Notamacropus eugenii: one gene and its partner. The protein of the gene in region 1 interacts with the protein of each later gene in a biochemical or structural test. Links are inferred from orthologs where the notes say so. Each region holds a gene or a part of one and is shown on either strand. Other genes may lie near its edges. The genes, in order: MYO6 and TAX1BP1.

Evidence for each region.
Region 2: the proteins of MYO6 (region 1) and TAX1BP1 form a complex in vitro, tested with the Homo sapiens proteins (5 studies listed by BioGRID, with this or other methods). The link is inferred for Notamacropus eugenii from reciprocal best matches to the Homo sapiens genes MYO6 and TAX1BP1.

The regions. Positions count from the first base shown.
Region 1 is NC_092873.1:145,787,610-145,803,575, forward strand, and holds the start of MYO6 (unconventional myosin-VI), read left to right. Parts: upstream 1-7,283; 5' UTR 7,284-7,680; intron 7,681-15,966. UniProt on the Homo sapiens protein: Myosins are actin-based motor molecules with ATPase activity. Unconventional myosins serve in intracellular movements. Myosin 6 is a reverse-direction motor protein that moves towards the minus-end of actin filaments.
Region 2 is NC_092874.1:18,735,784-18,751,666, forward strand, and holds the start of TAX1BP1 (tax1-binding protein 1), read left to right. Parts: upstream 1-9,082; 5' UTR 9,083-9,362; intron 9,363-15,883.

The DNA of each region.
Region 1 (15,966 bases):
GTCATTTTTGAAAATGTCCCCAGTTCCATTTATGCAGACAATCAAAGAGCCGAATTCATCATGTGGTTAGCTAATAGAAACCAGTTATATAACGTCTATCCACAGACTTTCTAAGATATACCCATTACATCTATGTATAATAATAATAGCTGACATTTTATATAGCACTGACTATGTAAAAAGCACTGTGTTATAACTTTACAATTATTATCTCATTTGATATTCAAAACAAACTTGGGAGTGGTTGCTACTATTATTCTCATTTTACAGATGAGGAAACTGAGGTATGCAGAGGTTAAGAGACTCATCCAGGGTCACATAGCTAGTATCTAATGCCATTTTTGAACTCAGGTCTTGCCGACTCCATGTCTGGTGCTCTATCCCCTGAACCACCTCATTGCCTATCACTACAATTCTCGAAGAAGCAAAGTCTCTGGTGTTTCCATTAGGGGAAATTATATTTTATATATTTAGTACATAAACCAGACCCCATTGCACTAAATACAAAGTGTCCTAAAAGTCTCTGTGCATTTTAAACTTTAATCGTTAAAATTTTAATAGTTTATTCTAAACAAAAAGTTACGAGTTTAGTCACCATCATTCTGAGCCCCAAGTTGGGAATCTTTACCTCCCTTCAAGGCTCATTTCATTTTGTATATACAGACTCTCCCCAAAATCTTAGTTTAAGTGACAGGTAGGGCATCCACAATTTGTAGGATGGGTGAAAAGAGATCTTGTGTAGGAGGTGGTACCTGACATGAGCCTTGAAAGGAGACAGAGATTCCTACCTGAGGACTCAGAAATTGTGACTGAACTAAAAACTTTTTTGTTCAAACTTCCTAAAACCTAGGAGGAGGGAACTTCATTAAGGGGTTATTGTATTGTCTGCTAGCTTAAACCAAGCTAATTACTCCAACAAGGTGTTATAAATTAGGCATAGTTAGTGGATAGAGAATTAGTGTTGGAGTCAAGAAGACCTGAGTTCAAATTCTGTCTTGCACACTTATTACCTGGGATCCTAGGCAGGTTACTTAACTTTTTTTTTTTTTTAGTCTTGGTTTTTTCATCTGTAAAATGGTAGTAATAGTAGCAACTACCTTTCAGGGTTGTTGTGAGAATTCAATGAAATAATACCTGTGAAATGCTCTGCAAATCTTACAATGCTATATAAATGCTAGTTTTGATCATCATCAGCATCATTATTATCATCATCATCATTATAACAAGAGTTAGAGAAAGAATATTCCCAACACAGGGAAAAGAGAATGAACAGTAAATTGGCCAGAAATTGATGTGACCAAAAGTGACATGAGGGTCTTGTATATGGTGAAGCTCCTCTATCAATGAGAAGAGGGTTGAGGAGGGTCGTTGGAGCGAACAGGAAACAGAAGGCCAGCTTAGCTGAAACATAAGGTTCGTGAGGAGGAGTAACATGAAATTAGTCTGTAAATAGTTTTAAATGCCTAACAGGAATTCATTATATTTGTTATGTCTACATTTTATCTTTGAGGCAATAATAACTACTAAAGCTCCATGAGGACAAGAGTGATATAGTCAGAACCTGTGCTACAGGAATATCAGTTTGACAGCTTTGTGGAGGATGATTTGGAGTGTAGAGAGGTTCAATGCAGGAAGATGAATTAAGAGATTATTTCAATAACCAGGTGAGAGATGAGGAGAGCCTCAGTGGGAACAGAGAAAAGAGAACAGATGAGAGAGATGTTGTGTTGCTAACTTGTGTTTCTGGAATGATAGTGGTAATTTTAGCAGGAAAAAAGTATGTGGGAGAAGGATGGGTTTAGGGAGAAATCATTAATTCCATTTTTGACTTGTTGAGTTCAAAATACACAGGACATTAAGGTAAAGATATCCATTTGGTGATATGGGGCTGGAACTCTGGAGAGAGATTGGGGCTGGATATATAAATCTGGGAGTCACCTGCATAGAGGTGATGATCAAGGTTGATGGAATCATCAAGACAGATTGTAGAGTGAAAGGAAGGTTTAGATTAGAATTATGTGGTTCACCCAGGCATTGAGGAGAGGGAGAAGCGAGGACAAGGATGACAATCTAGCAAACAAAACAGAGAAGAGTATCATGAAAAGCCAGGGAGAAAAGTATACAGGAGGAGGGAGTGGTCAACCACATCAAATGCTACAAGTAAATTAAGAAAAAAAGGGCTGAAAAAAAGTCATTTGGATTAACATTTAAAACATTTAAAAGATGTTAGTAACCTTGGAAAGAGTTATCTAGACTTTATGGGGTTCCTTGGAGTTGGTTTGTAAAAAGGGTAGATTCTCTTTCTCTGGCTCTCTCTAGCTCTCTCTGGTTATCATTATCATCATCATCGTCATCTGAAGTGAGGGTGGAATCAAGCAAAATTAATTAATTATTATTATTATTATTTTTAGAATAAGGGAGATCTGAGCATGTTTAGAGGCAACAGGGAGGAAGTGGTGGAGGAGGAATTGAAGATCAGAAAGCTAGGGAATGATTACAATGGGCAAATTCCAGGAAGAGATGGGAGGGGATGGGGTAAAGGACACAAGTAGAAGGTTGGAGTTAGCCAGAAGGGCTACTTCCTCAGAGACTACTGGAACAAAAGAAGCTGAAATAGGGACTGAGTCTGAAGGGATATGAGGTGAGAAAAGGCTTCATTTTCTCAGTGAGCTGTGACAAGGTCTTTTGTTCTTCAGACAGGTAGTTTGAAGAGAGAAGAGGTTTAGACATCTGTGTGAGAAGTTCATTAGACAATTAGGAAAAAGTAAAAGAATTGACTCGGGAGCAATGGGGATCCAGTTGAGATTAGATAACACAGATTTGTAGTAGATACAGGTCAGTATAATTGTGTAACTTCCTCCAGGGGTCATTCGGCAGTAAATTGGCATATCATGATTTATGCAATCTGTCCCTATGAAGGAAACCACAGTAGAATCCCAAGTAACTAGAAGATTCAGGAAAATGGTGAGTTTTCTGGTTAACTAGGACTTCAGTAGAAATTTTATTTTGATTTCATTTTTGTTGCTGAAAATCTTACTAATCCAATAAATTTGACACAGTAAGTACAGAAGTGAATATATTTGTTAATGATTGAGGAATTTGCAAATGACTAAGTTCTAGTAATCATAATGCAGCATTGTAGATGTAGAAAGTACCTCTAAGTTCTACCTTAGAAGCTGTTTTTTTTTTTAATGAAATTCTTACTGTCAGAGTGTTTTCTTGTGCTTTACTCTTTTTCTAAAAACTCTCTAGGATTAATTAATTACAGTATAGTAGATTATCCATGGGATTAATAAAATAATTTCTTATTTTAGAGGACTTGTCCCCCTATGAATCAGTCCCAACCCATGGACATCTATCTATCTGTTCCTTCTCATCTTCAGCAGATTGCTTTTCATTATCCATGCTGTCATCTTCAATCTCTTCAGGTCTACTCACTGCTTCTTTTCTGCCTACAAACTTGCACATCTGTCCTCAAACTTCAAAAAAATCTTGATCCCTCTACCCGGACTAGCTATTGTCCCATATAACTCCATCTATTTATGGCTAAACACCTTAAGAAGGTAGTCCATGATGGGTGCCTCCACTTCCTTTCCTCTCTCTCTCTTCTTAACTCTGAAAGTTGGTTTCTGACCTAATCACTCAACTAAAATTTCTCTCTCTCCAAATTTCTCTCTCTGATCAATGATTTCTTAATTGCCAAATTTACTGGCCTTTTTTCCATCTTCTTCATTATTGACTCTTCTGCAGACTTTTACATTATGGATTACACTCTTCTCCTTAGTATTCTCATTTCTCGAGATTTTTGTGACGCTGCTTTCTTCTGATTCTCCTATCTATCTGACTGCTCCTTTGCTAATTGGTTACTCCCACTATATGTGGGTGCCCCACAGGGCTCTGTCCTGGACCTTCTTCTCTTCTCCCTCTATATTATTTCACTTAGTGTTTTCATCAGGTCTCATGCATTCTCTTTGCTGATGATTCTCAGATCTACTTTATCCAGCTCTAACTCTCTGCTGGCTTCAGTCTCACATCTCTAACCGGACATCTTGAACTGTGTTTCATAGACATCTTAAACTTAACACGTACAAATCAGAACTCATTATTGTTTTCTCCAAGTTGTCCCTTCTCCCAAACTTCCCTATTATTGTCAATGTTATTATTGATAGTAATGTTACAATCCTTATAGTCAATCAGGCTTGCAAACTAGTTATCATTTTCAATTCTTGACTTTCATGGCATCCCTCCTCTGCACCTCCCCCTACCTATATCTTATTCGTTGCTATGTCCTGTTGATTTAATCTTCTTAACATGTCTAATATATGATTCCTTCTCTCCTCTACACCTCATGTTCCAACTCACGATTGTCTTTCCACTTTGGCCCATTATTGACTGATTGATGGAGCCTCTACTCATCTGTCAAAGTGATCTTAAAGTTCTGTTCCTACCCTGTCACCCCCCACTCAGTTAAATCCAGCAGTTCCCTATCATATAAAATCTTCCTTTTGGCATTCCAAGCCTTTTCCATCCTGCCCCCCTCTTTCCACTCTCTTTACGCTTTAACCCCATGGACTCACTGTGCTCAAGAATGCTGCTCCTTACTGTACACACTCCATCCTATATTGACTCTGATTTTTCGCTGGCTGTCTCCCATGCCTAGAATCCTGTCCCTTCTTATTTCTACCTCTTAACTTTCCTGACTTTCTTTAAGTACCTGCTAAAATCCTATCTTCTACAAGAAGCCTTTCCCAATCCCCTTTAATACCTGTTATCTTATCTCCAATTTATCCTATAAATAGCCCATTTGTACCTATTTGTTTGTCTATTGTCTCCTCATTAATGTGAATTTTTTGAAAATTGGTTCATCTTTTGCTTTTCTTTGTATTCCTACTTAGTATACTTAGTATAGTGTTGGGCACGCATTAGGTACATTATAAATGGTTATTGTCTGTTATCATCTTGTGTGATTCTTGTCCAAGTCACTCCATAAATGTTTCTCCAGTTTATTTGAGACTTTGTGGATACAAATGCTATACTAGTGCTGTGTAAGACTATCACAGTCAAACTAAAGATCTTTGAAGTTTACAGCTAGAGAAAACTCAAGATTCTTTGGATGATATATTACATGTTACTTGTGGAAAGGACTAGAATATCCCAAAGGAAGAGGAAAATTTGCTTCTTTCAGTTTGTAAAATAAGGGAAGTATTTCTGTTTTTTGGAAGAAAAAAACAGAAAAAGAACAAAATTTAGGAGTATTTTTTGGAAGAACAGATAGCTAGGAAATCATGCTTAACTAGAGAAGGAACTGAGACTGAAATATGTAACACATTCCTTTTTTACTTTTGCTGTCAATCATAGTCATATGATATACTACCCTATACTTCTTAAGATGTATTAGTTTCTAATGGTTTCCAGGCACCTTTTAAGTTGAATGATATATATACAATTCTAAACTCAAAAAAGGGAAGACACAAGATGCCATAGCAATACTTTAATATTTGTTTTTTTCTCACTACTCCTTCTGCTTGGTACCTTTATTTAACATTTACTTCCTGTCTAGCTAGCTTGAGATTTCTGTGGTTCCAGCAAATTGTTTCCTTTCTTGGTTTCTCTTCCTCTTTCCTCCTTCTCCCAGTACATTCTTCGTAATTCATTGTGGCGGTTGCTCCCTAAAGTCTATACGTTATCAAGGATTTTCTGAACTTTTAAAGTGGCTACTTTGATATACTGGGAAACAAATCTACTTTTCAAATGAAATTTATTCCTTTTTTTTTCATAAAAATGTTCAGCATCTTGGATGAATTTAATTTTCTCCAAACTGAAAATTTATTACTTCAGAAGAACCATAATAATAAGAGCTACGTTTATATAGTACAAGTTAAAAGTTCTTTCCTATAAATTATGTGCTCCCCACAACAAGCCTGTGAAGCAACGCTGGTATCAGAATCTCCATTTTACAGGTAAAACAACTGAGGCTGAGCAGATGAATGGCTTGACCAAGACCATACAGTTAATGAAGATCTCATTTCATGTTCCTTGTTCTTTCCATTGTGCTACTACCTCTGACAAAAGACTCATCAAGCAATGCCTGTCTGAATAGCCCTTTCTACCTATTCAGATTTTAAAATTATTTTCAAACAAATCAACTATGGAAAATGAAGACAAACTAAAAGTAGGATAACGCTTTTTAAAGTTCAAGCTGCCTTTTTTTTTAGGGGAGGGGCGTGAGCACAAATAGAAATGAAACATTCTTACCCTCTGCCTCCTATAGAGACAAATAAATTTGGAAGTAGGCTTCGTATAAAAATCCAACAAAAGTAGGATTTCAAATACAGATACATTGTATCTAAGTGTGCGAGCGTGTGTGTGTTTCTAGATGTTCTAGATAAATTAGACAGTGGAGCAGCTAATACACTTCAGGAGCAGCCTCCTCTTCTCCTCTCTCAGACTTCGTATTCAATGGACTCTCCACGCTAGAAGAAAGACAAACAAAAAACCCAAACTGGTCAGTTACAGAACTTAATTACTGTGACGGGATACTTTAAGCCTCCCTCCCCTTTCCCACAACATTTTTGGTTTCTTTCCCAGAAACACTGGCTTCTTTCTTTAAGTACGTAGAGTTTTAGAGTTGGTGGACACTTACTTTCTTGATGCTGGAAACTCAATCAAGTGTGGAGGAAGGTTTTCCACCGCAGGAAACGCAGACTGGATCTGTCAGTTTCTCTCCCCCGCCCCCCCCACCCTCTCCCTCTACCCTTCCTCCCTCCCCGTGCCGCCCCCCCCCCCTCACGCCCCCCCCCCCCCCCCCCCCCCCCGGGAGAAGTATTGTCTGAAGACTTGGGTTCCGTTTCGGGCTTTGACACTTGCTCCTATGAAAGCAGACAGGTCACTGGTGAGACTCTGGGCAAGTCATTTAATCTCCCAGGGCCCCAGTTTCTTCGTCCGTAAAATGAGGGCGACGGGATTGAATAACCGCTGAAGTCCCTTCCGGCTCCTAATGTGCGATCCTATGACACTCCCTTTTGGCCCCCGCCGAGGACCGTGAAAGAGGGGCGACCCCCCCCCCCCCCCCCCCGCCCCGGCCTGGTAGCCCTTCCCCCTCCCGCGCACAGCCGTTCGGGGCCGATCTGTCGGACCGAGCGCTGGAGTGGGCAGGACAGAGGTGGAGAGATGCGGGCGCGGAGCCGCGGGACGGGAGACTGAAGGGGGAGCCAGGGTGTGTGGCGGCGCGGGCGCGCGCGGTGGCGCGGGCTGGGAGGGGGCGGGCGCGCGCCTCCCTTGCCCCCCCCTCCCTGGGAGCGGCGCGCGCCCCTCATCCCGCCCCTAGCCCGCGGCGCCGGCGCCCCCGCCTCCGCCTTCTCGGGCTCCCCGAGTGGGTGACGTGAGGCGCAGCCGAGTTCCTCCCTCGGACTCTGCTCGGCGCGGCGGGCGGAGGGAGGGAAGGGAAGGCGGAGACGGGGCTCAGCTGCGCTGGGAGCAGGAAGTGGAGCAGGACCGGGAGCCGCTGCCGCCGCCGTCACCGCCAGGAGCCCGGCGCCAGCGCCCTGTCCTCCTTCCCGCTGGGCAGCCGCTCGGTCCCTGCAGCCCTTTTCTCTTCCCTCTTTTCCCTCTCCCGGCCGCCTCGGCCCGGGGCCACCCCGCCCGCAGCCGCCGCCGCGGCTCACCTGCCTCCCCTTCCAGGTGAGTGAGGGAGGAGGGAGTGTCCACACCCCGGGGGGCGGCTGCGTGCCCCGGCGGCCCGAGAGGCTCGGGGGCCTCCCTGCCTGCCCCTGCCCGGGAGTCCGGCCAGCGGCACATCTGCATCTGCAGGGGGCTGTGGGGGAGTGAGGGTCTTACTGGGGAGAGGCGAGGGGTCCCGGCCGGCCCCTTTCTCCCCCGTTCCCCGACCTCCGGAGGAGAGAGGGGCCGGGCTGGGCCGGGGCGCAGGGCAGCCGTGCCGGCTCGCTCGGAGCTGCGGGTTCGGCCGGCCTCTGGACCGGCCAGGTGGCGAAGGAGACGGAGCCTGGGAGGCTCCTGGCCGCTCCTGCGGGAACCACCTGCCGTGTCTGCCCCTGACGCTCTCTGTAAGAGGCTGGCACCGTTGGGGAGGAAAAAAATGAAAACTTTTCTCTAGGAGCTGGTTAGTAAGCACTTAATGAATTCCTTCTGGATTATCATTAAGAAAACGACCTTGCTCTAATGCAGCAGGAATCAAGCCAAGGCAACAGGCGTTTACTTCTTATTAAGCGCCTACTGCATGCCAGGTGCTGTGCTTAAGTGCGGGGGACTAGAAAAGGGCAAAAACAGCCCCTGCTCTCAAGGAGCTCCCACTTATGTGCAAACGAGATAGGGACCGGATAAACTGGAGATAGAATCTCCGAGGGAACACACTGACAGTAATCTTTTATTTGTGGTACAAAGATAGCTTTAATTTTTTTTTTTTTTAGAATAAACATCTTTTTGAAAAATGGGTGCCTTTTGTTTTTACATCCCATTCATTTCTGAGTATATTATTCCCCTGCCAGCCACCTATCCATTCATTCCTTCTTGGAAATTAAAAAAAAAATGCAGTTGAGCAAAACTAGCTCACATTTACCTAGGCTGTGCAGGCCTATTCCTTTTTCCACACCCATAGTTTCCCATCTATATAATGAATGGCCAGAGCTTCATTTTCTTAACTCTTCCAAGATCTCCCTCTATGATTAAATGACTTAAAAAAAATGGAAACATCTAAGTAAATCTGTTATATAAATGAAAGAATCAGTGCATTAATAATAATATAATTGTGTAAGTGCTTAGGTTAAGCATTTAAAAAACCAAAACATTTTTTCACATTGTTCTAAAAATAATAGAAATTAATTTTAAAGAAACTTTATACTCCTACAAGGGAAAAAAATGCCTTCTGTTGCTGTGATTTTGATTTCAGGGAAGTTGTAGTTTTATAACTGTCCTTTTTCCTGATGTTAGCCAACTGCTCATGAGAATATACTGAATTTTACATCCATTAGTGTTCTCATAATACATGTTATGGAGGCAGTATTTAAATACTAACCCATAAGTATTAGTGAGGAATATTACTGAAACTTTGATAAGTTTTTGAAGGTGTTACAATTTTGTGATACAGATATATATCTAGTCAGAGTTTATTGGGGATTTTTTTTTCTTCTGGAGGAAACAAGATTTTAGCATAACTTGTTGAATAAAAATGATCTCAAGGTTTAACAGAAATTACACTTGCCATAAAATGTGGATCTTGAACTTGGGTTGGTAGTGGTCAGGGTACAAAGGTTAACAGCAAAGCAGAGGGCTTTTTTGCACAAATTAACTGAATTTAAAGAGATGTCTTCCTTGTGCTACAGCTACAGCTTGATGATTAGGACTTGTTCAGCAAAATTGTCATCTTTCATTTGTCAAGCTATATAAATACCATGTGGTGGGCCACTCTCAGAGGAAGAAACAATAAAAGCTGTTAATCCTTGTTTTTTGTAAATTTACTTTTTCAAGTACTAAACTTATTTTAGATGTTACACAGAAGTTTATAGGTAGAATGATAAACAAGGGTCCCTTTAACCTTTTGTAAATTTGAATACTGAATTTTATATAAAATCTTTTTGTTCTTTGAACCTTTTCTTCAAGTACAGTTTCAGAAACTGTTAAAAATAAGTAATCTTTTTTTGGTGGGTGAAAGGGAGGGAGTATTGATAGAGATATCAGAAAAAAGAAGGAAAACAGTATCAATGAAACATTTAAAAAATACATTGAAAAGAGCAGAGGCAAGTTCAGAAAGACAAGAGCAAGATAGTTTCAGAACTATACTGTTAAATTTATTATATTCTTAAAGCTATTATACAGTGGATCTTTGTGGTTTTCTATCATAATGTTTTCCTATTATTTGTATTCATGTATGGAAATAATTACGTTCATTGATATTTGTCAAGTTCATTATAATAAAAAAGAAAATATAAAAACAATAACAAAAAATATTTCTTCTGCAATAACCCCCCCCAAACCATATTATTTTTATTTCAGTTATTTCATTGGGTTATTTCGGTATCTTATCAAAAGTTGACCTAAAGTATAAAAAACAGTTTCAGTGATAAAGTTTGTAAAGAACATTAGTCAGGAAGTGAGAGAGCCACTGAAATTTCATCCTGTTGTGAATGTGCTTAATGTGTATTGAATATTATGTCATCCATTGTTTAGACAATTTTGCTTTATTGGGGAGCTGGATTGCCATTTCCTTCAACTTTTAAAAAAAGATTTTGACTGATTTGAATAAGTACAAGTATCTGAAACGCTTAAAATTGTTATCTAGTTGGTTAACTACTTTTTATATTTAAGAGAATCTTGAATTATGGAGCATGCCTGTCTCAAATGGAAAATTTGAAACTTGGTGACTTGGAAATTGCTTATTTGCATTTCATATCCATAAATGACTTGATTAAAATTTCTTTAAAAAATGACTAGCATTTGGTAAATTGTGGTTTAATTGAATTATGATACTTGAAACAATGTGGTTATACCTTGAATCAACCCATCAGCAGAGGGAATTGTTTAAATTTCCTGAGGAAGTGGTATTGTATTAGGGTAATTGGAGATTTGATATGGGTACATAGTAATAGATAGGAGCTTCTGATGAACTCAATTCCTTTGTGTTTTTTTCTTTCATAACAAGTGAATACTAAACAGTATCAAGTGTAATCTGTTGCCACATTTTCACAAATTATTATTGTTTAACTAAAATGGAGTGTATTGATTATAGAACATAGAATTAGATATGTTGTTTGCTGTAACCTGATCCCTGGTTTACGCAGATGAGTAAAGCTATCAGTTTTCACTGTAGCTAAAATGAATAGTAACTTGCTTTTAGTTAGCACATACTGTTTTATTTTCCTTAAGAGAAAATATTTTGCCCATAAGAGTGAAGTATCCTTCTTAGTCCTATTCAGCCAACTTTTCTCTTTCAAAGAGAGTTTATTTTCAAACAGTTTTTATACTGCTACTTGCACTGATTAATTGTTGTTGAACAACAGCACTGCTTTATTAAGCTCTCTCCATCCCCCTTTTCCTCTGCTTATCTTAGATAAGCAGGAACTGAAAGGGAAAATTCTTTAGTCGAAAATAATGTCTTTTCCTGTCTTTAGGAAGATACAAGCTAGCTAGTGTGCAGAAAGGACCATGCAGTTGCTTTGGGGACCAGCATCTTTTGCATCTGAGTTATTGAATGAAAATAAGAGGTAGGTAGAATCAGGCAAAAGAGTAGAGAGGAGGCAAACTGGTTTGCCTTTTTTTTTTTTTTAAAATAGGGGAGTTTTGTTGTTTTGTTTAAAGTATTGTGAATTCTTAAACCATATATAAATATAAATGCACATTTTTATTTCTGTTATGTAGTACAAATGTACTAGTACAAATAAGAAATGCGTTCTCAAGCTTAATTATTTTTGTATTATCAGCACTACAACTCCTTATCTTTGCACTAGATAATTGAACTGGAGTTGAAATGAACTTCTGAATTCTGCTGTTGGAGTATTCAAACAGATTTAAATAAAAAATCCATTTAAAATAATTTTCAGCAGTAACTACACAATTTTCTAGGTGCCAAACTTAAGTAAACAACAATTTTTAATAACAGTTACATAAGTTGTGGCTTAGGGAAATGTAGCAAGTCAAAAGTATACACATAATAATACCAAACCACAAGAAACATAACTAGAAGAACCCATCTGACCCATCTGCCTTCTTCAGAAATGTTGTAGTACCAGAGAGGAAGTTATTTGTTATGTGGAAAGAATATGTCTCAAGTGAAACCAAAACGCTGTAGTGCATTCCTTCTTTGTATACTCATATGATGCCACTAATTAATGTACAAAGGAAGGCGTTAGTAAAACGTTGCGTTAGCAAACCATAGAAATCTTTTGTATATGCTGTATGTGCTCTCTTGATGGGTAGTGTTACAAGTTTGTAAAGTAAGGTGTTGCATGTGACAGGAATTTTTATTGGGCTAGGAGTTTAAAGTAGGTCATAAGTATTGTAGATGTACACTTGGTATAATGTATTGAAAGTGGCCTCATAGCCAGGAAGACAAGAGTTCAAGTGCTGATGGACACATACTGGCTGCCTGCGCCCCAGCCACAACACTTAACCTCTCAGGGTTCCGGGTAACAACAACAATATCATCTTCATCTGTTTAAAAGATTTTATTGGCATTCTGAGCTTTTATAACACCCTAATTTCTGAATATTTTCTTCTTTCTCCCCTAACTGGTGAATGGTCACATGTGCTTTTCAGACACAGGTAGTTCCCATAATCAACTCAATTTCTGCCTCTTTCAAAAGGAGATGGGAGTTCCTAGCCTGTTTCTATCACATGACTTTGTCACATTTCTGAATGTCCAGGCAACTTCTTAACACAGAACTTCTTACCCTGGGGTTCAGGGATTTCCATGGGATCTGTAGCTAAATTTCAAGGGGTCCATGAATTTGGATTGGAAAAAAATGCATTTTAATTTTCACTACCTTTGGTTTCTTTTTTATCCTGAGTATTTTCTTTGAAGCATTTTAAAACATTATTCTCAGAAGTGATCTATAGACTTCATCAGACTGCCCAGGAGATCCATGATACAAAAAAAAGATTAAGAATCTTTGTTCAAAGATTATAAGGTGCAGAGAAGAAGGTACTGACCTGTCTTGGTAGTACAAATTTGTCATTTGGGAAATTTGGGAGTTTCCTATACCCACGGTCAAGTTTCTCTCTATCTATGGTCATTCAGCAAGTATTAATGACACATGTAGAGGATTCAAAGAAGAGAAAGGTGATCTCTGTCCTCAAGCAGGGTATAATCTAGTTGGGTGAGTATAAAGGCCAGGGTAAGGTAACTATGGTACAAAGAGTATGACAAGAGCCATGATAGAGGTAGCAATAAAGGAGAATGAATTGCTTATTCTTTTTACTCCTTCATTTATGTACCTGAGAGGATCAGGAAAAGTTTTGTGAAGGAGGTGGGTTTTGAGGTGGAATTTGCAGATTGGGCAACATTTTTGACATGTGGGTAGGTGAAAGAATTCCAGGTACGAGGAGGAACATGGGCAAGGATGGTAGGTTTGAGGAATAGTGAGTAGGCTAGTTTGACTGGAGCACAGAGTATGTGCAAGGGAATAGTGAGAAGTAAGGACAGAAATTAGACTGGGCATCTATCCTGGGGTCTTTGACTACCAAGTTTAAGAGTAGAACAGTTGTACTTTGAGAGCATGTCTTAGATCAAATGTGAGGGTTTCAAAGACATGTAAACCTTTGAGGAATTTGTAATATAGTTGAGAGAGAAAAGGCATAACTGTAAACAGATAAGTGTTAGATAGAATTTAAATTCTGAAGTTGCTTATGTTTTCGGATAGTGGTGTGGGCACTTCTCTCACTGAAGGTTGTCCGGACTTACTAGTGTTAACCTCCTAACATTGCCTTATGGTAAACTATGTGTTTGTTTTCTTTTGGTTATATTGAATTAGGAATATTTGAATATCAGGACATTAACATTCTTCTGGCAGTTGTATCTAGCAGCTAGAAGTTTATATAATTTAAAAATTTTTATTTTTATTGGAGAGCAATAGTTGAGGTACTAGATAATTTATCATTAGCATATGAGCTTTCTTGGTGAAATTGATGACTTCTTTTATTTTTTTGGGTGGAAATTGATGACTATTTTTGGGAGTGCATCACTTTAAAATTTAATTTTAAAAAAGTCATTTTATGACTGTGATATGTGGCATTAAAAAGTGACATTTTTTGAAAAATATTTATTTGTTGATTATAATTATATTTTTGTCTTTATATTTAGATGTCAGTAATGAATAAGGTGAAGGTGTGTCTACATATTTCCAATCCTAAATAACATTTTATTGTTGTTTTGAAGTTCTTTAATTATATACCTCAAGTAATAATTATTATTAAGTAGGGCTGAACTACCAGTCAGTGAATTAGACTGTGTCACAAGTACTTAGTGATTTGAAGGTGAGCTTGGACTCTGAAAAGCTTGCCTGATCCATATATTTCCACTGTTGGCTTTCAATATGCCTGAAATACCGGCTATTAGAATCACCTTTGTTACAATATAGATGTATTACCTTGTAGAGGTAGCAGCTAGAATCATTCATTATCACATTGTCAGAATAGGGCTCTGTGAAAATGGGACACAGGACAGATAGATTTTGATACAGACTAGGGATAAAGGAAAGGAACATGGAGTTCTTCTGGGTAGGTCAGGAGGCTTAGGGGGTTCAAAGAGCATTAGAAGGACATTAAAAACAAATGGTACAATTTTGCTAAGGCCTTAGATTCTAAGAGTATTCTTGGAATCTCATAAATTCAGTGTAGACCTCAGCTTTTAGAGTCTGCTTTACAAGTGAGTCCCTTTTCCTTCTTTTAAATAATTGCCATATTTAATAGGACATCTTAATCCAAAGAGTATTAAGATAGAGAAAATATTAAATTTGGAAGAAATCTTGTTAAGTCATTTATTCCATTTTTTAGGTAGGTTAAACCAGTACAAAGTGATAGATCATCACCAGAGTGTTTCTGAATGAACATTAAATCTCTTCTTTGATTTATATATTTGGATTTTCTTTAAGTTCTTTAGTTCAAAACTAAAATTGTTAGTAATGGGCATATCAACCTAATTACCTCTACAACAGTTATGTCAGTGAAAATAGTCTATTTATATTCTAGGAGCTCTTTGGTAATTCTGTGTTTTTAAATACTTGGTTTTATATTTGTGGTTTTTTTTTTTTTTAACAGTGTTAATCAGCTAGGAATATTTATTGTTAACTCTATTGTCAAAACAGTATTGTTGATGAATACTGTGAGCCATTAGTAGGATTTCTCTGGTGTAGGTTAGTACATGATCTTGGTCAGCTTTCATATTCTCATTTATCAACATTACTGGAATTACTACAGATGGCCTGTAACTTCTGGTTTTCTTGTGGCTTTGTGTACAACCATCATCTTATGGTTTTAATTAGATAACTGTTTTTAAGAGCTTTTGATAATCCCTATGGATTTTTTTTTTTAGCATTGTATCTGGCACATAGAAAGTACTTAATAAATAATAATAAAAAAACCCGTCATTTATATTTCATTTTATGATTTGTGAAGTTCATTACAATTATTATCTTTTACTTATAACAACCCTATGAAGGACATACTGTTATGATTTCCATTTTACAGACAAGGAAACTGAGTCAGACTGAGGTTAAGTGACTTGTGTAGAACTACACAGCTGTTAAATTTCTGAGGTCAGATTGGAACTCAGGTTGTCTGCACTTCGGATCCAGAGCTTTATCCATTACACCACCTAGGTGCCTCAAATGCTTGTCTGTTCTTTAGAACCAACAATAATAATACCAGTTGATAGAAACTGGACTATAAACATAATCTTGCTTTACTTAAGTAATGACAGGAAATGGATTGGAGAATATTCTTTTAAACTTTGAAAGTATTATATAAATTAAACTTTTTAGTAACCACTATTGATGCCAAGCTTTTTAATAGCGGTAAAAATGCCTTTTATTTATAATGTTTTGATATTATCCATATTTTTAGGAAAAGGCAATGAGGTAGTTGGATTAGTGGAAAAAGCACTAGAGGACCAGGGTTCCAATTCCATCCCTGCCACTAATTATTTGTGTGAGGTTGGGCAAGTCACTTCATTCTCATCCCTCAGTGTCATCTGTCAATAAGAGAGTTGTATTAAATAATCTCTAAGGTCTAGGAACACTGAATTTACAGTGAGGAGAGATTTGAATTCTAATCCTGGTTCTTATTAGCTTTGTTACTCCAGGCAAAAAAACTCACCTTTCTGAGACTATTTTATCTATTTCCCCATCTAAAAAATGGCAATGGCAGTATGTTTACCATTTGTATCACAGGATTGTTGTAAAGGAAATGTTTTGTAAACTTTAAAGTGTATAAATTTGTCATTGTCATTTTTGTTGTATA
Region 2 (15,883 bases), on another chromosome or scaffold:
GGCTTAGAGTCAGGAAGAGTCATTTCTATGAGTTCAAATCTGGCCTCAGACACTTAGTAGCTGTGTGACCTTGGGCAAGTCACTTCATTCTATTTGCCTCAGTTTCCTCATCTATCAAATGAGCTGGAGAAGGAAATGGCAAACCACTCTGGTATCTCTGCTCCCCAAAAAAACCCAACCCCAAATGGGATCATGAAGAGTCAGACACAACTGAAAGTACTGAACCAACACCCTTCTGGGACCTAAAAGCTCCTCTTAAATACCTATTATATGCCAGAAAGGCACAAAGGTAGGCTATGGAAGTTATAGAGACAATTAAAAATCTCTGCCCTTAAGGAATTTACATGCTCCAGCCTCACTTTGTACCATCTAAATAGTTTACACTATGATTTCGGGATTGTAAAAACATTAACAAAAGAAGGGATAAAGAAAGGAGCTCCGGTTTCAGGGAGGTTAGGGAGTATAAAAGGCAGACAGGAGGTTTACAAATCCATTTCACTCCTGGTGTTAGCTTAGGCAAAGATGCGAGGTGGGAGATGGACTGCTAAGTTTGGGGAAATAGCTCATACACTGGCGTGTGAAGGTAAGTACTATGAAATAACCTGGCAAGGTAGGCTAGGACCAGGTAATAAGGGGTTTTATGTGTCAGCCTGAAGAATCTGTGTTTTAGCCTAGAGGCAAAAGGAAATCACTGCAAAGCATTTCTGTCTGTTCTCTCCTACTAGGAAATCAGGAGCAGAACAGAGGGTCTGTACACAACATTTGTGGATCTGACCAATGCCTTTGACACTGTTAGTCATGAGGATTTATGAAAAATTATGTCAAAATTTGGTTGTCTTCATCAATATTGTACATCAATTTCATGATGGCATGTTTGCCCGGGTTCTGGATAATGGACAAAGCTCTCGTGCCTTCCCAGTCACCAATGGAGTGAAACAGGGCTGTGTGCTTGCTCTCATGCTTTTTAGCATGATGTTTTCAGCCATGTTGACAAATGCTTTCAATGAGAATGAACACGGCATCAAAGTCAACCACTGTACTGATGGTATGTTCTTCAGTTTGAAAAGGCTACAAGCCAAGACCAAAGTGGAGGGAGTGTTGGGGCATGATTTTCTGTTTGCAGATGACTGTGCACTCAACGCAACCTCTGAAGCTGAGATGCAACAAAGTATGGATCAATTCTCTGCTGCCTGTGCTCATTTTGTCCTAATAATAACACCAAAAAAACACAGATGCCCCATCAGCCACCACCACACCATCCACATGTAGAACCATCAGTTATAACAAATGGAGAAGTTTTGGATGCTATGGATAAATTCACTTACCTTGGTAGTGTACTTTCCAGGGATGTACACATTGACAGTGAGATTGATGCACACATTGCCAGAGCTAGCTCAGTGTTTGGGAGGCTCTGAAGAAATGTTTGGGAGAGAAGAAGTATTAGACTGACTACCAAACTGAAGATCTACAGAGCCATTGTACTGACCTCATTGTTATATGCTTGTGAAACATGGACAATCTACCAGCACCATGCCAGGAAACTGAATCGCTTCCACTTGAACTGTCTTAGGAAGATTCTGAGGTAAGGCACCAGACACTGAAGTCCTTGCTCGAGCTGAACTGCCAAGTATTCAAACTATGCTTCAGAGAGTGCAACTCTGATGGGCTGGCCACATTGTTTGAATGCAAAATGTATGCTTGCCAAAAAGACTATTTTATGGAGAACTTGCATGGGACAGGCAATCACATGGTGGCCAAAAGAAACAATACAAGGACACTTAAGATCTCTCTCAAGAACTTTGGATTTGACTGTGCAACATGGGAGACATCGACACAGGACTACTCAGCATGGCGTGCCCACATCCAAAAGGTGCTGTGCTCTATGAGCAAAGCAGAATTGGGACAGCACAAAGTAAACACAGGATGCTCAAATTTGGGATAATCACCCCAAATATTCACAGGGCCTATCTGTGCCCAACCTGTGGTAGAGCGTTCCAAGCTTGTATTGGTCTGATCAGCCACAGTCTGACACACTGAAATTTCACTTTACAATGGTGATGTCATTTTGGTCCCCTTCGAAGACGAAGGACAACAACCAACTAAGAAACCTCTTCTTATCACAAAGGTAAAAAATAAACAGAAAAAATAGTTTGATAAAACCAACCAAGAAGTTTTCATCTAAAAGAATGAGTCCCATGGACCATGTCACAGAGACCAAGATGAATTAGTGGATGCCTCCTACAACTGTCCAACATCAACTAGATCCACTTTTTTCCTTGCTTTGGCTGATTTGCTGAGTAGAAAGCAAAAGTTGTGAAAGTTCTATAGCAGGGAAAGCATTTTCCTTTGGCAGGCGTGTGGAGAACAGATTGGAGAGGGAGGTAATTGGAAAATTTGGAGTCTAATTAGGGGCTTTGGCCAAAGTCTAAACAAGAGGCCATGAGGACCTGACTAGAGAGAGGGATGGCTCAGGGAGTAGAGAAAAAGGGATAGAGATATGTTGTGGGTGTGGAATGGACTAGGCTTGGCAACTGACTGGATGTGATGAAGTGTGAGTAGAGGGATGCCAAGTTGGTAAACTTGGGATGGAGAGATGGTAATGCCTTCAACAGAAAGAGAATGTCTGGAAGGGAAGGCATGGGAATGGGGGAGGAAGGTAAGCTCTGTGCACACATTGTACACACTGATTTCAAGACATCCACTTGGAGATGTGGAGGTGTGGGAATGGAATTCAGGATAGAGAATGGGACCGAGTCCGTCTATCTATTCTGTTCATCTCTACCATGGTCAATGTTTTGGTGTCATTCAGATTCTTGAGGTTTTGTTAAAAGATATGTTGGTGTGTGGGAGGGAGTAGGAGGAGTCTTTTGGAAGAGCTATACATTCAAACAGCAAATCCTCAATCCAAATCATTCCTTGGTCTCTCCTGTTGGGAGTGTAGTGTTTGTGGCTGTTGGCATTTACTTTTCCCTCCATACTGGGTGTCAAGAGATGAACTGAGTCCCCTAAGTGAGAAATGAAACACTCCCTCAGAATGAGGGTATTTATAGGACCCTTGAGAGAAGGACCCCAGTGAAAGCCTACATTTTATTTGTATTGAAACATTCCTTTGCCCCTTGACAATACAGGGATCCTACTGTGAAATAACAGTCATTCCAATGTGTGCTTTCTTATGCCCATTGTACTCTGTGAGGCTGCCAAGTCTCACACCTTAGGCCCACTCTTTCTGCCATAGACAAAAAATTCTCCTATATCCAAGCAGAATGAACATGTCTGCTCTCACCCACACCCATGTGAACAAAGTTACCAATTTCGTCAATCTCATGGAGACAATTTTAGGAGTATGGGCAGCTCCGGCAACCTTTAAATGGGTTTCTTCATCAGCTCCAATTAAGTGCCAGAACAGAAAATCCAAAGTGTGCAGAAAGAGAGAGAAAGCCGTAGCAACGTGGGAAGTCTACTCTGTTCCAAGCACAGGTCTGCATTACTTTTCTCAAAACGGGGGCTGCTCCACAGGTCTGGACTCTACTTCCTCCTCACCTCTGCCTTCAAGGTTCACGCCTAGGGCCATTTTCTCCAGGAAGTCTTCCCTGAAGCCCCCAGCTGCTAGTGCCATCCCTTCTCTAAACTCACGCCCATAAAAATACCTCAAACAACTACCTTGTGTCTCTTGGAATCTACCTAAATATAGGTACAAACTGTGTCCTCCCTAGACTGCTCCCTGAGGGCAGTGATGGTTGTACTTCTATCTCTGGAGTCCGGAAATTTAACGGAGCTGCTCATTATACATTGGAGGGTGCTCTTTCACACTCTAGAATGAAACCTGGTTACTTTTTCCATGAGAATTCTTAGAGAACAAAAATGAAGATGGTGATTCTGAAGTGAAATAAAGATCTGGCATTAAGCCAGTTAACTTCATCAGCATAAATAGCAAACCCACATGTGCTAAATCAGGCTAGGGTCGGTTTTATTTTTGACCACTATTGTTTTACTAAATTAACCACCAATTTTTGCTTTACTTAGAATAGACACAGCCTTAGTAATTGATCCTGGCCTGCAACTTAATTTGCTTACAAAAATTTTAAGAAACTTTTAATAAACCAATTAAACTAGAGCCATTAGTATATATTTGGAAATTGTATAAATAGATGGGTGCTATATTTAGAACACCATGAAAAGTTGGTTAATCACATTCCATTTCTATTGGAATTTAATTCAAACCTTAAATTTAGAAGAAGGAAAAAAAAGCAACTTTGCTGTATAACAAAGAGAATAGCCTACATTTATATTTGTAGCCTATATGGCTACAAGGATACACACACACACACACACACACACACACACACACACACACACACACACACTCTCTCTCTCTCTCTCTCTCTCTCTCTCTCTTTTCTTCCTATCTGAGTTATTCCTTAACAATAGCTAGGTAAGGTTAATAGTCTTAAGTGAGATTTATGCCCATTTTCTGGATGAGACAACTGAGGGTGATTGGTTAGGTGACTTGACCCAGTAAGGAGCATGAGTATGACTGGTTTTGATTCAAACTTTCCCTGACTCAGACTCTTGGACCTTTTCTCCTACACATTATCAGGTGTAACAGAACCATGTTCCTCTGCATTTTAGGAATTTGCTCAGTGTGCTGGGAATCTTGATGACATGGTTTATCTGATCTTTGTCCAGTCATTTCATTCTAGGTTCTTAGCTAATGGGTTGAGACTATAGCCCCAATTATAACACTTAAGTATTCTGGAAATAAATAACTGATATTATACAGTGCTTTAAGATTGACATGTGCCCTGTGTAATTTTACCACAAGTAACACATTTCATTTGATCCTCACAATAATCTCTTGAGGTGGAAGATATATATACAAATATATCTATATCTATGTAAAATTATTTATTATTATTATTTATATAAATATATAAAATATATATATCTTGAGGTAGAAAGATTTTTATATCTTCTTTACACATGAAAAAACTGAGGCTTAGAGACTTGTCCACATTCCTACCACTACAAAACAGTCAAATTGAGATTTGAACTCAGTTCTTTCCTGACTAACACTACCAGGCCCTCTATTATTCCATACCATCATCTCTAAAGTTACTGAAAAGCTTCTTTAATACTCTGATGGATGTGAGTACAACAAGGGTGAGTCCCAGGGCCAGTGGGGATGGCAGCTTATGCCTTCTTCCCTTTTTGTGTATTTTCTGAACTTGTACCCTGTAAGTCTTCACACAATCTACATGCCAGAGTCCTTGTTCTGGGTCTTTGGATCTTTCCTGGATTCTAGTGCAACCCAGGGCCTTGCATCTATTACCTCTTCATTCCTTTCCCCATACATGTCCTTTACTGAACATGTTTGTGAGGATGCTTTTACCCTATTTCCTGTATCCTGGCATAGGTTACAGGCTCCTGACACTACCAAGCACCTCTCCACTGACTCTTGGACCATCTACCATTTTGATTCTTTGAAGGTACCCCTTGGTTTGTTGCCATATGGTATTCCTAGAAGAATACTGGGGTTAAAAGATGGCACTAAGGGACTTTGTGATCCCAGAAAATTCTACACCACTTCCCAAATGCAAGCACTCAGCTTCCTATTTAGATCTGATCTCAAATCATCATGACTCATTTGCAACACTTGTCCAAAGTAAATATACTGCTGGACTAACTTGGTGGACTGAACATCACTAGCACGCCACAAGACAAATTTTCTGTTGCTCCTCTCCACGCCACATGTCTTCCCATTTTGTCTCGCCCCATGTTTGCCATCAGCATTTTCTTAGTTATGCCATCTTTGACTTAAGGTCTTGGCTTCTAATGTCCGATCTCCGCATCCAGTCAGTGTGACAAGGTTGAGGGGTGATGGGGACCCCAAAATATTGACAGTCTGGGTCGTGCTAGAATGAATTCGACTCAAGTCTTCTTAAAGCCAAAGAAAACAAAGTTTATTAAAGATTTGCCATCTTGGGTTGCCTCTTAAGGAGCCTAAGCACTTGTAACGCTTGCATTCACAAGCGGGCCGGACAGAATCCCAGCTAGACAGAGTCTGAGCTGGATTGCATCTGAGTGCCTTCATGGAGGTGAGATGGAACTAAACACAGAAAAGAGTATAGGAGGGATCTGGGGGGGGGGGGGGTGTCCAGGGTGATGGGAGGAGGGGTTTAGGAAGGGCCTTGAGGAGAAGTTCAAGGAGGGAATCCAAGGAGGGTCAAAGGCTGGAAACAGCTGGAGGCTATCAGGAGATATCAGACTAGGGGGCGCCTAGGTGGGAAGCAGGTGGGACAATCAAGAGGTAACAGACAATGGCCGCAGATTTGAGTACGAAAAGCCAGGTTAAGTGAGGAGATACTAGGAGAGCTCAATCTGAGTATGAAAAGCCAGGTTAAGTGAGGAGATTCCAGGGGAGTTCAAGGAAGTTCTCAGAGTCTGAACCCCATCAATTGCCCTCACTGTGGTTCAGGCCTCTATTTCCACAGCCTCCAGTTTCATTATGCCAGCCACACGGAATGCAAAGACAAAATATTTTCTCTGCCTCCAATTTCCCTTTCTTATTCAATCTTTCTTCATGCTACTTTCCTGTTCAAAAAACCTCATTGGCTCTATATCCCGCCTTGGTCTGATACTCAAGGCTTTCTGTAAGCTAGGCATAACTTTCTTTTTTCTAAATTTATCTTTCGCTCCTCCCACAATTGTATCCCCCCTTCCTCTCAGAAGATCAGAACTGACTGGACTCTGAATAGGTTTGAATGCCCTTCCTACCCAAGTAGTTCAAGGTCCCCTTCTCAATCTCATTTTACCCCAAATGTTCACAAAGACTATTTGTGCCTGACCTGCGGCAGAACATTCTGAGCTCATGTTGGTCTGATCAGCTACAGTTGGACACATTGTAACTTGACTCTAGCATAGTGATGTCATTTTGATCCTCTTTGGACAACAAGTATCTTTCCATAAGTCCCTAGTACAAACTGTTGCTTGGTTTTCAAGGTCTTGAATAACATGGTTCGCCCCTATTTCTAACCTTATTTTATATTAATCCCTAACTTGTATTTAGGTTATTATTCTCAATGTCTCCAGAAAATGCCAAGTTCATTCCCATTTTGAAAAGTATAAGGAAGGCTTTCCTTCCTATTGTATCTCTGGCTTAGAATCATTCCTTCTGCCTTGCTCTCTAGCCATTGAAATCCCACGTGATCTTCAAGATCTGTTTTGGTGTCTGATCTCCCATGAAGTCATGACAATAATCTCTCCTCTCTTCTCTCACAGCAGAGTTGTGTGCTACAAAACCTTAAGCTTAGTGGTATGCTGCCTGTTTGGTAATGATTGTTTTATGTGTGTTAGGCAGAGACCGTATCTGGTATTTCTGCATCCTTTGCAGCTCCTGACTCCTGAGCAGAGGAGAGATGGGTTATTTCCATCTGCTCACACAGTGGAGTTCAACCTTCCAGGATCACTTAATCAAGCACTTACTATTCCTCTTCTACTAAGCCTCCCTCCCCCATTCTGTTCTGTAGTGGCGACTCCTTTCTCCAGACTCCCAAGATATCTACTATACTAAAAGGCAGTATGGTAATGGTGGCATTTCGGTGGACTTGGCCTCAGCAGCCTAAATCTTGTTTCTGATACTTGTAGCTGTGTGGTCATGGGCAGGTAACTTCCAGGTTTCCCATCTGCAAAATAGGAATATTCAATAATATCAGGGCCATCATGAAAAGCAAATGAAATGAAAAATACAAAGCTTTGATAACTTTTTCTTGGTAGTTAACATTTTATGCACAGATGTCATGTCCACATTATTACTGGACTTGAGCTCACAGATTGCCGGATGTGGTATTTCTTTTTAAATTCTTTCTAGTATCTTGCATCACACTGAACACTCAGTATATCTTGCTGACTGATACTACCATAAACCTTCTAGGTGCTTGGTCAAGGCGGGCATCATTAAAATGGAATGTATTAGCATATGTGGGGTTGGCTGAACCCCTGGATTTCTTTTAGATAAGAATGGAAGCTAATTGCCCTAATTGTTGACTGTGCTAAAAAATGCAAAGCAAGAAAAACTCCAGGAAAAACCCTGGGGCTGATGTCACTAGATCTAAAGTTTCTTCACTTTCTAAAAGGTCAAGATCTTCAGATGGAGATTAAACCATCCCCAGCAAAGTGCTTACTAATGTCAGTTTCTATTTCTAGTTACAGTTATCACTATACTAGTTACAGTAACCACTATACGTGTAGTATCTCTATGGATGTAAGTACTAAGCTGCCTTTATCCTCATATACGTATTTGTGTACGTGTATGTCATTTGCACACGTGTCTGTAGACACACAGAAACCACTGGAGGGAGAGGCAGGAAGGCTTACTGGACCAGTAAGCAAGGGGTGCCCACGACAGTGGCTTTCTGTACAAATGAAGTTTGACTGATGTCCTGTAGACGAGGGTTGGATCCGAGCCGTGGGGGCCCGAAGCTTTTGGAGGCACCCAAGACAACGGCACGGATGGCAGACGGCCGCCCGGCCATGCGGGTCAGGCAGGATTCGAACCCAGGTCCTCGGGCTCCCATTATTTATTTAGTGGTTACTACGCGACTCCACCGTCCGCCAGCTCCGTGCTGGGCATCAGAGAGGACAGAGACCTCGGCAAAGTTCCTCCCCGGTTGGGGCTGACCCTCCGCTGGGGAAGGGGATGTCGCAGGCGGGAGGGGAGGAGACAGTCCTTCCCCTTCATCCGCGAGCCCCAGAAGCCCTGGGTTCAGATCGTGCCTCGAAGCTGTAGCAGTGTGGGCCTCAATTCCCTGATCTGTGAAATGGGGGCGATAACAGCCCCCCCAACTCCCCCTCCCGGGCCTGTTATGAGACGTGCTCTGCAAACCTGACTGCGCTGTGACGCAAGCCAGGCAGCCCTGCCTGCCCTCGGGGAGGCAGGATTCGAACCCAGACACGGAGACTCGGGTACTGACATGTCCCTCTCCGTCCCGGGCTCCGAATGGGAAGGCGCAGGGGGCGGGACTCCAGCCCCTGGCCGAGGGGAGTGGCGGGTTCAAGCCCGGGGTCGTCGCGCCTGCGCAGACCTGGCGCCCCGCCCCCGGCGCGCCCCTTCCTGCCCCGGAACGAGGCTGCACGCACGCGGCGGAAGCGAGCCTCCCGGAAGGACGGAAGTGACGCTCACGGCCGCGATTGGCTCGCCCCTCCCTCCGTCCCTCCTTTCCCCGCTCCTCCTCCTCGGTCCGTAGGTCCGGCCGTTCGTCCGCCTGTTTGTGGCGGAAGGCGCCCGGTGGCTGATGGCCATTCTGAGCGGGAGGCCCTGGTGACGCTGCCCAGCCTTCGCAGAGGCCTCTCCGGGCCAGCCTGGGGTAAGAAGCCGGGGCTGGCGGGCGGAGGCCGGGCGGGATTGTGACGTGCCCGCAGGGACTCGGGCCCAGGGGGCAGGGGGGCGGGCGCTCTCTGCCTCAGTTTCCCCTTCGTGAAGTGAGAGCTTCCCAGAAGAGGAGACGCCGGGACTAGAATCTCGGTAGCCTCCACGCGTATACTCTAAGCGCCCAATGAGTGCTGGTCGGTTGGCCCACTCGGGCCCGGAGGCAGAACCAGGGGCGGCACCGTAAAGAAGGAGGAGCTGGGCCCTGGAGCTGAGGGGGGGCGGGCGGGGAGCGGCCCAGGTCCTCGGGGTGTCGGGAGGGGGAGGGGAGCGCGGGGCGCTCGGGAGCCCGTGTTTGTGTATGGGGCGGGGAGGGGCGGGGCCTGCGGGCGGGGAGGGATCCCGCGTACTTCCGGGATGGGCCAGTGCCGTTCTGCCTCCCCCAGGCAGTGCGCGGGCTGGGGGGTTCAGTGCCCTTTGACCTCACCGGACAGCGGAGGTGTTGGGCAGAGCCTGACCCCGCGCGTCCGACTTGGGGCCGGAGACCAAGTGGAGTCGGAACTTGGGCTTTTGAGAAACGTCCGGGAAGTTAAGGGGGGCTGCGAGAGCCTGGGGCGGGGGGCGGCCCTCGGAGCGGCGATCTTAAGGGCTTGATGCCAGCCAGGCGCGGGGGGGAGGTTACGGAAGGCCCCGTAAAAGTGCGCTTTCCCCTTCCTGCAGCCGAATTACTGGACCAAGCGCGCCCCGGGTCCCTCTCAGCTGACGCAGACGGTAGCCTCCGGGCTGACCCTGGGCTGGGCAGCCCTCTGGGAGGGTGACGTGTTCGAAGTATCTCTAAAACAGTGAAGGAGGGTGCTGCTCTGAAGGGCTCTTCAGGTGTTTAGGTGGCCTCTGTCTGAAGGGTTTTATGCGGGAGGGAGCGGACTAATTCAGGTGTCTGTAGGTGGAATATGCAATGAAAATGCAGTGGGAGGCTGTCCGTAGTTTTAAAAATGGATAGAGGTCCACTGGCCCTGGAGTCCGGAGGACCTGAGTTCAAGTCGGGTCTCAGATATTTGACCCTGTGTGACCCCCTGGGCAAGTCACTTACCTCCATTACCTCCAAAAAAATGGATAGAGATGTAGCCTATTTCTCTACTTTCTCTGAAAGTGGTAACATTTAGTGTGCCGGCTCATTTATTGGCTGGATTCTCAGAGGCAGGAAGATCTGGGTTCAACTCCTGCCTCAGACGAGGACTGGCCCTTCTCTGACACCAGAAGTCGAAGAAGACGCTGACCTGCTTTAGGAGAGGGAGTCGAAGTTCTTTATTTCAATAATAAAATCACAATCCATCCTCCTTGGTGTCATCCTTATTTAGAGCTGATAAATTACATAAGGTGATTGGAAAGAAGCTTATGACCGCTGACATCATTTACGGATCTTTTCCTAAGGATTGCCCCTGCTGCATTCAGTTCGTTAAAGTGGAATGGGTAGTGCCGTGGAGCTTGTAACCGTCAGCCGGCCTCAGACATTGCTGGCTGTGCTCGTCTGACCAAGGCTCTAACCAGGCTCTCAGCTGCACTTTTTTCCTTTGTAAAATAATAGCACTGACCGTAACAGGTTCTTGTGAAGGTCGAATGAGATCATATGTGTGGTATATAGAAAGATTGGTTATTGTTAACATTCTGGAAGGAAATGTGATAACCAACAATCCTTTGTCTGAATGGGACCGTAAAATCTGCCTAGAGAAGTGTAGGGAATCATACTTACCGAGCTCCCACTGTGTTCACATAGGGAGCTGTATATAGGACTCTATACAGAAATGTACAATGCAATTATTGCCTTTAGAATTTAGAATAAATTAGAATTAAGATTAAGAATTTAGTTCAAAGACTTCCTGATGTAGAGTTCCTAGGTGACCTGTAAGGATCCCAAGAAATTGGGTTTGGCAGGCTGAGGACTTAACTGGAGATTTTGGATAGGCAACATGAAATGTTTAAATGGACTATTGTGTGATTGTGATTGTGTGTAACTCCTGGTTTTGACTCCTCAGTTTTCACTCATTTTAAATTGGTCTCCCATTCCTGGACCCTTGGTAGCAGAAAGTGAGATTGAAGCCTGAAGTCGCCGTTGTGGCTCCTATTTGCCCTTCCTTCTGTGGAGGGTGGTGAATGGGAAGGGCTTCTCTCTCTGCCAGTGCGGCAGGGCTGTGTTTCCTCTGGGAATGGTGCTGTTTCCAAACAAAGTGAAGGCGGTGGGAGACTCCATCAGGTTCTGGGGGAAGAAAAGGAGAAAGCGAGGGCATTTGAGGCAGTTGCAGACTCCTGGAAGCCATTTACACATGTAGAGGACAGGAGGGACCAGGTGAAAGCAAGGTTAGCAGAATTTGGAGGGAACTGATAGGGATTCTTTATTCCATTCCATGAGCCAGAGTCATCTAGCTGTTAATTTGTGATGGTTTGAAGATGGGAAATTTGTTAAAATAGAAGGAAAGGGAAGAAAATCATGACCTATCCCTGCTTTAATCAGCTCCAGTTTCATCCTATGATATGTATTGCAAGTTACTTGTATTGCCATTTAGAGAATAATTCTATTAGTTCTGTGAATATTTGACAATATTCCAACGGGAAACCCCCCTCCAGTGTAGTCATGGAAACATTTTTGTTTTGAATTTTATTTTTTATAATGTTGACATGTGAGAATTCAGACAAGCACAATGACCATGACACAGCACTCCTCGGTGTTGGGAATGAATCCATGTTTTAAAATTATTTTTCATTTTCTCTTTGTATCACCAGTGCTTTGGACAGTGCTTAATAAATGCCTCTTTGACTAAAAGTTAGAAGAAAAGTGCTGTTTCACTTATGTTATCTCTGGGAAGCAGCAGCCCATAAAGTCAAAGGCATAGTGTAAGTTGGAGGAAAAAGAACTTTCTCAGTTTTATGCTTAGGTCTTCAAGATTTGACATGTATTAGATTTGACTGACTGGAGTTTGGGAAGGAGGATGTTGTGTCCTTCCCTCCCTCCCCAAAAGGATTAAATCTGTGGGCTTGTCCTCAGCACTGTGCCAACCCCCAATTGCACACAGTGAGGCCTTTTGATTTTAAAGTTATTTCTGCCTGTTTCATGAAGAAGTACTTTCCATCTTCCCAGAGCCTTAAGACCACTGGGTGGACTGTGCAGGATGAAGTAGAAAGTTAGTCTTAAGTGGGAATTGAAATATTCTCTGGCTGCTATTCCCTTTGAGTAAACATTGCCCTTGGGCAGCGTTGCTGGAGTAACCAGTTTGAGAATATATCTGGTTAGGTAGGTTTCCTAATCAATCCAAATGTTTGAGATCCTCTGTTTAAATAATTCAGCTGAACTTAATTCTTTCTCTGAAATGTTCAGTTACACACAGAAGATTGTGGAATAATGTACTTTGGTGGCAAATTTTGAAATTGTACAGGCTTTAATCTCTATAAAAAAGGAGTTAATTTTTTATAATAGAAATTGGTAACCATTTTAAGATTTTGGTTTTAATGACTTTTAAGCCATTCAATACCTGTATTTGTTATTTGAAAGGTCAGGAAACATCACATTAGAAAGGTTTTGACTTAAGTATCTTTCTAAATAAAGTATCTGACAGCAATTAGTAAATTACAGGGTAGAGTTTCAGTGCAGTCCTGGGTCCACAAACGTTCGTTGACTTGGGAAACAAGGACGATTACTACGGTGCCAGAAATAGATTATTTCTTTAATGATTAAAAAAAAGTGCCTGAGAATTATCATGAAGAATATTAGGTATGTAATGTTAGAGCTGTTGAAGGTGGAAGACTTAGCATGATAAAAATAGTAAATTGCTTTTTTTGGGCAAATCTGTATTAGCCAAATTGTTATTTGTCACTCATAGATGTAGAATGCAAAATGTGAAAAACTTTGAGTTGTTTGCAGAGTTCACTTACCATTCATGAGTTAACCAAAACTCAACTTAAATGACACCTACTCCTTGAGTCTGAGCATTCTGTGAATTTTTAATAGTCACATTTATTGATTTTTGTGCCCTTGACATTTCCTGAATGACATTTCTTTTGTATTCAATTTCCATTAATTTGAGATCTGAGCAATCCAGACAAGGTTAAGGTAAGCATACATTTTGCCAGACAACACTGATTAAATAGTCTTTCTAATGATTTAAATTGGATTTGTCATGAAAGACAAACCTAACTTCTTTTTTCATTTCCATATTTTTGTTATAAATGAGGAAAAAACTTTAATCGTGCTGTCCTGACTGGTCTTGGTGTTGGAGAGCGGGCAGATCACGAGAGGACAAGACTCAGTGATGAGACTAGAGGAGTCTTACTGATAGAGTTATCTCAAGGCAGCCAAGAATGACAGCCTTGAAGTCTCTTAAGTACTTTTTCTTGGTAGAAAGGAATGGTCCCAATCAGGATGGGATTGAAGCAGAAAGGAGTGGGCTGGCTCAAGGGAACAGTGAGTCCAGTGCAATTAGGCAGGAATCCAAGGGGATGAGGACCTTAACCAAGAGGCCAATGCAGGCAGTACATTGTGATAGACACTTGGTATAGAAAAAGCACAGAACCATTTCTGCCTTCAGGAAACTTACATCAGCTGGAGGGATATCAGTGGATAGAATGCTGGGCCTGGAGGCAGGAAAACCAGAGTTCAGATAGAGCCTCAGACATTTTATTAACTGTGTGACCCTGATAAATCACTTCATCTCTCTCTGCCTATCTGTGGGGATAATACCACCTCCCAGGGCTGTTGGGGATCAGATGAAATAAGATTTGTAAATTGGCACTAGCCTGGCCAGTAGTAAGCTCAGTATAAATGGTAGCTATTATTATTAAACAGATACATCCACACATGATAATTTGAGGAAGGAGAAAACAACTAATGAATTTGTTTCCCGTAGGAGGTGGCCCTATGGATTCTAAGAGGTATAGATGAGGAGGGGTGTGTTCCCTGCTTAAAAAGTCAGAGATGGACTTCCATAAAGCATGTGTGGTTTAAATGTGGAATCCATGGAAGGGATAATAGGAAATAATACTGGAAAAGTAGACTGTAACCTATGATATTTTCCTGTAGAAACAATAGTCATTGTAGATTCTTGATCATAGGAGGGAGTAATCCATTGCACCCTTGTGCTTTAGGAAGGTTATCTTGGCACCTGTGTAGAGGAAATCTTGGAAAGGGAAGAATTTGGAGGCCCTGAGCTTGGTTATGCTGTAGAAACGATGAGATGTGTGAGGGCTTGATGGGTGGAGAAAAGGGGCTAGAACTGATAGATAGTTCAGAAAGGCTTTGTTTGACCAGCCCTTGGGGAGTGAGAGTCAGTTAGGAAAGGACTCAAGGATTGCTATGGAGCATGGAGACCCCATTGAGCTGATAACATAATCATTATTTGGAGGCATGGCAGCACCTCCATGGGCTGGAAGAGAGGCAGGAAGAGCTGAGTTTCAGGCCTGTCTCTCTCTGGTTGCGGAGAGAGGGGACAAGCGGCTTCATCTCTCTCACTGGCCTCAGGCAGCTGTCTCTCACTATACTTTACCAAGAAGGTGGCAGTTTGCTCTCTGTAACAAGGAAACCACAGCAGAAGTCCAAAGACCAAAATAAAAATCGTTACTCACGTGAGGTAGCAGAAGTCCTGGAACAAATGGAGGAACGCTAGTGGCAATGATTAGTTGTGCCCAGTGATGCTAAGGTGGAGGCTGTCTGCCCTCCACTCCACCTTCTTAGGCTGCCTGAGGACCATACCCATGGTTTGTGGACCAGAAGCCAGAGAGTAGCAGAGGCTCTGGGCTTGGGTACTTTTAGATTGTAGCAGACGCAGGAAGCCAAGACTTTGGGGAGTTCTTCCACACTGGAATTTATGTTTATTCTGTTTGTTTGAACTTTGTCTCCAGTTCTTCCTTTGATTAACTTCCTGAGTCATACTGGTAACAACTCTTTCCCAATTAATGTATTCCTAGTCTGCTTTTTTACAGTTGTTAGATATCTTGATACAGAACCCAGAGTAGAGATTGCATGCATGCGGGCAGCCAGGAGGCTGAAAGGCCTCCAGATCCACTGGGAAGTGGTGTTATTTAGCCTAAAGAGGAAATTTGAGAGCCACATGATTGTTGCATATGTTAAAAGGGCTACCCTGAATGGGGAAGGAGAGATTCCTCACTTGATCCTGTCCTCTACAAAGCTGCCAAAGTGATTTTCCTTAAGTTTAAATCTGACCACCGCTTTGCCCCATTCTAACTCCAAGCCTGGTTGGCTTTTACAGCACTTGGTCCCAACCTATCTTTCTAGCCTCATTATTTATTATTTGTTATTTGACTTCTTACTCTCAATGGGCTAGCCAAGTTGGCTTTCTCTCATTTCTCACCCATGATATTCCATCTCTTTGCATTTCCTCTGACCACCCCACAGTCTGAAACGTACTCCCTTTTTCCCTCCTTCTAACTCAGTTTCCTATGTAAGACTGTGTTTAGGCACCAACATTTACACTCAGTATTTTGGTACATACTTCTCTATGAATGAAAGCCACC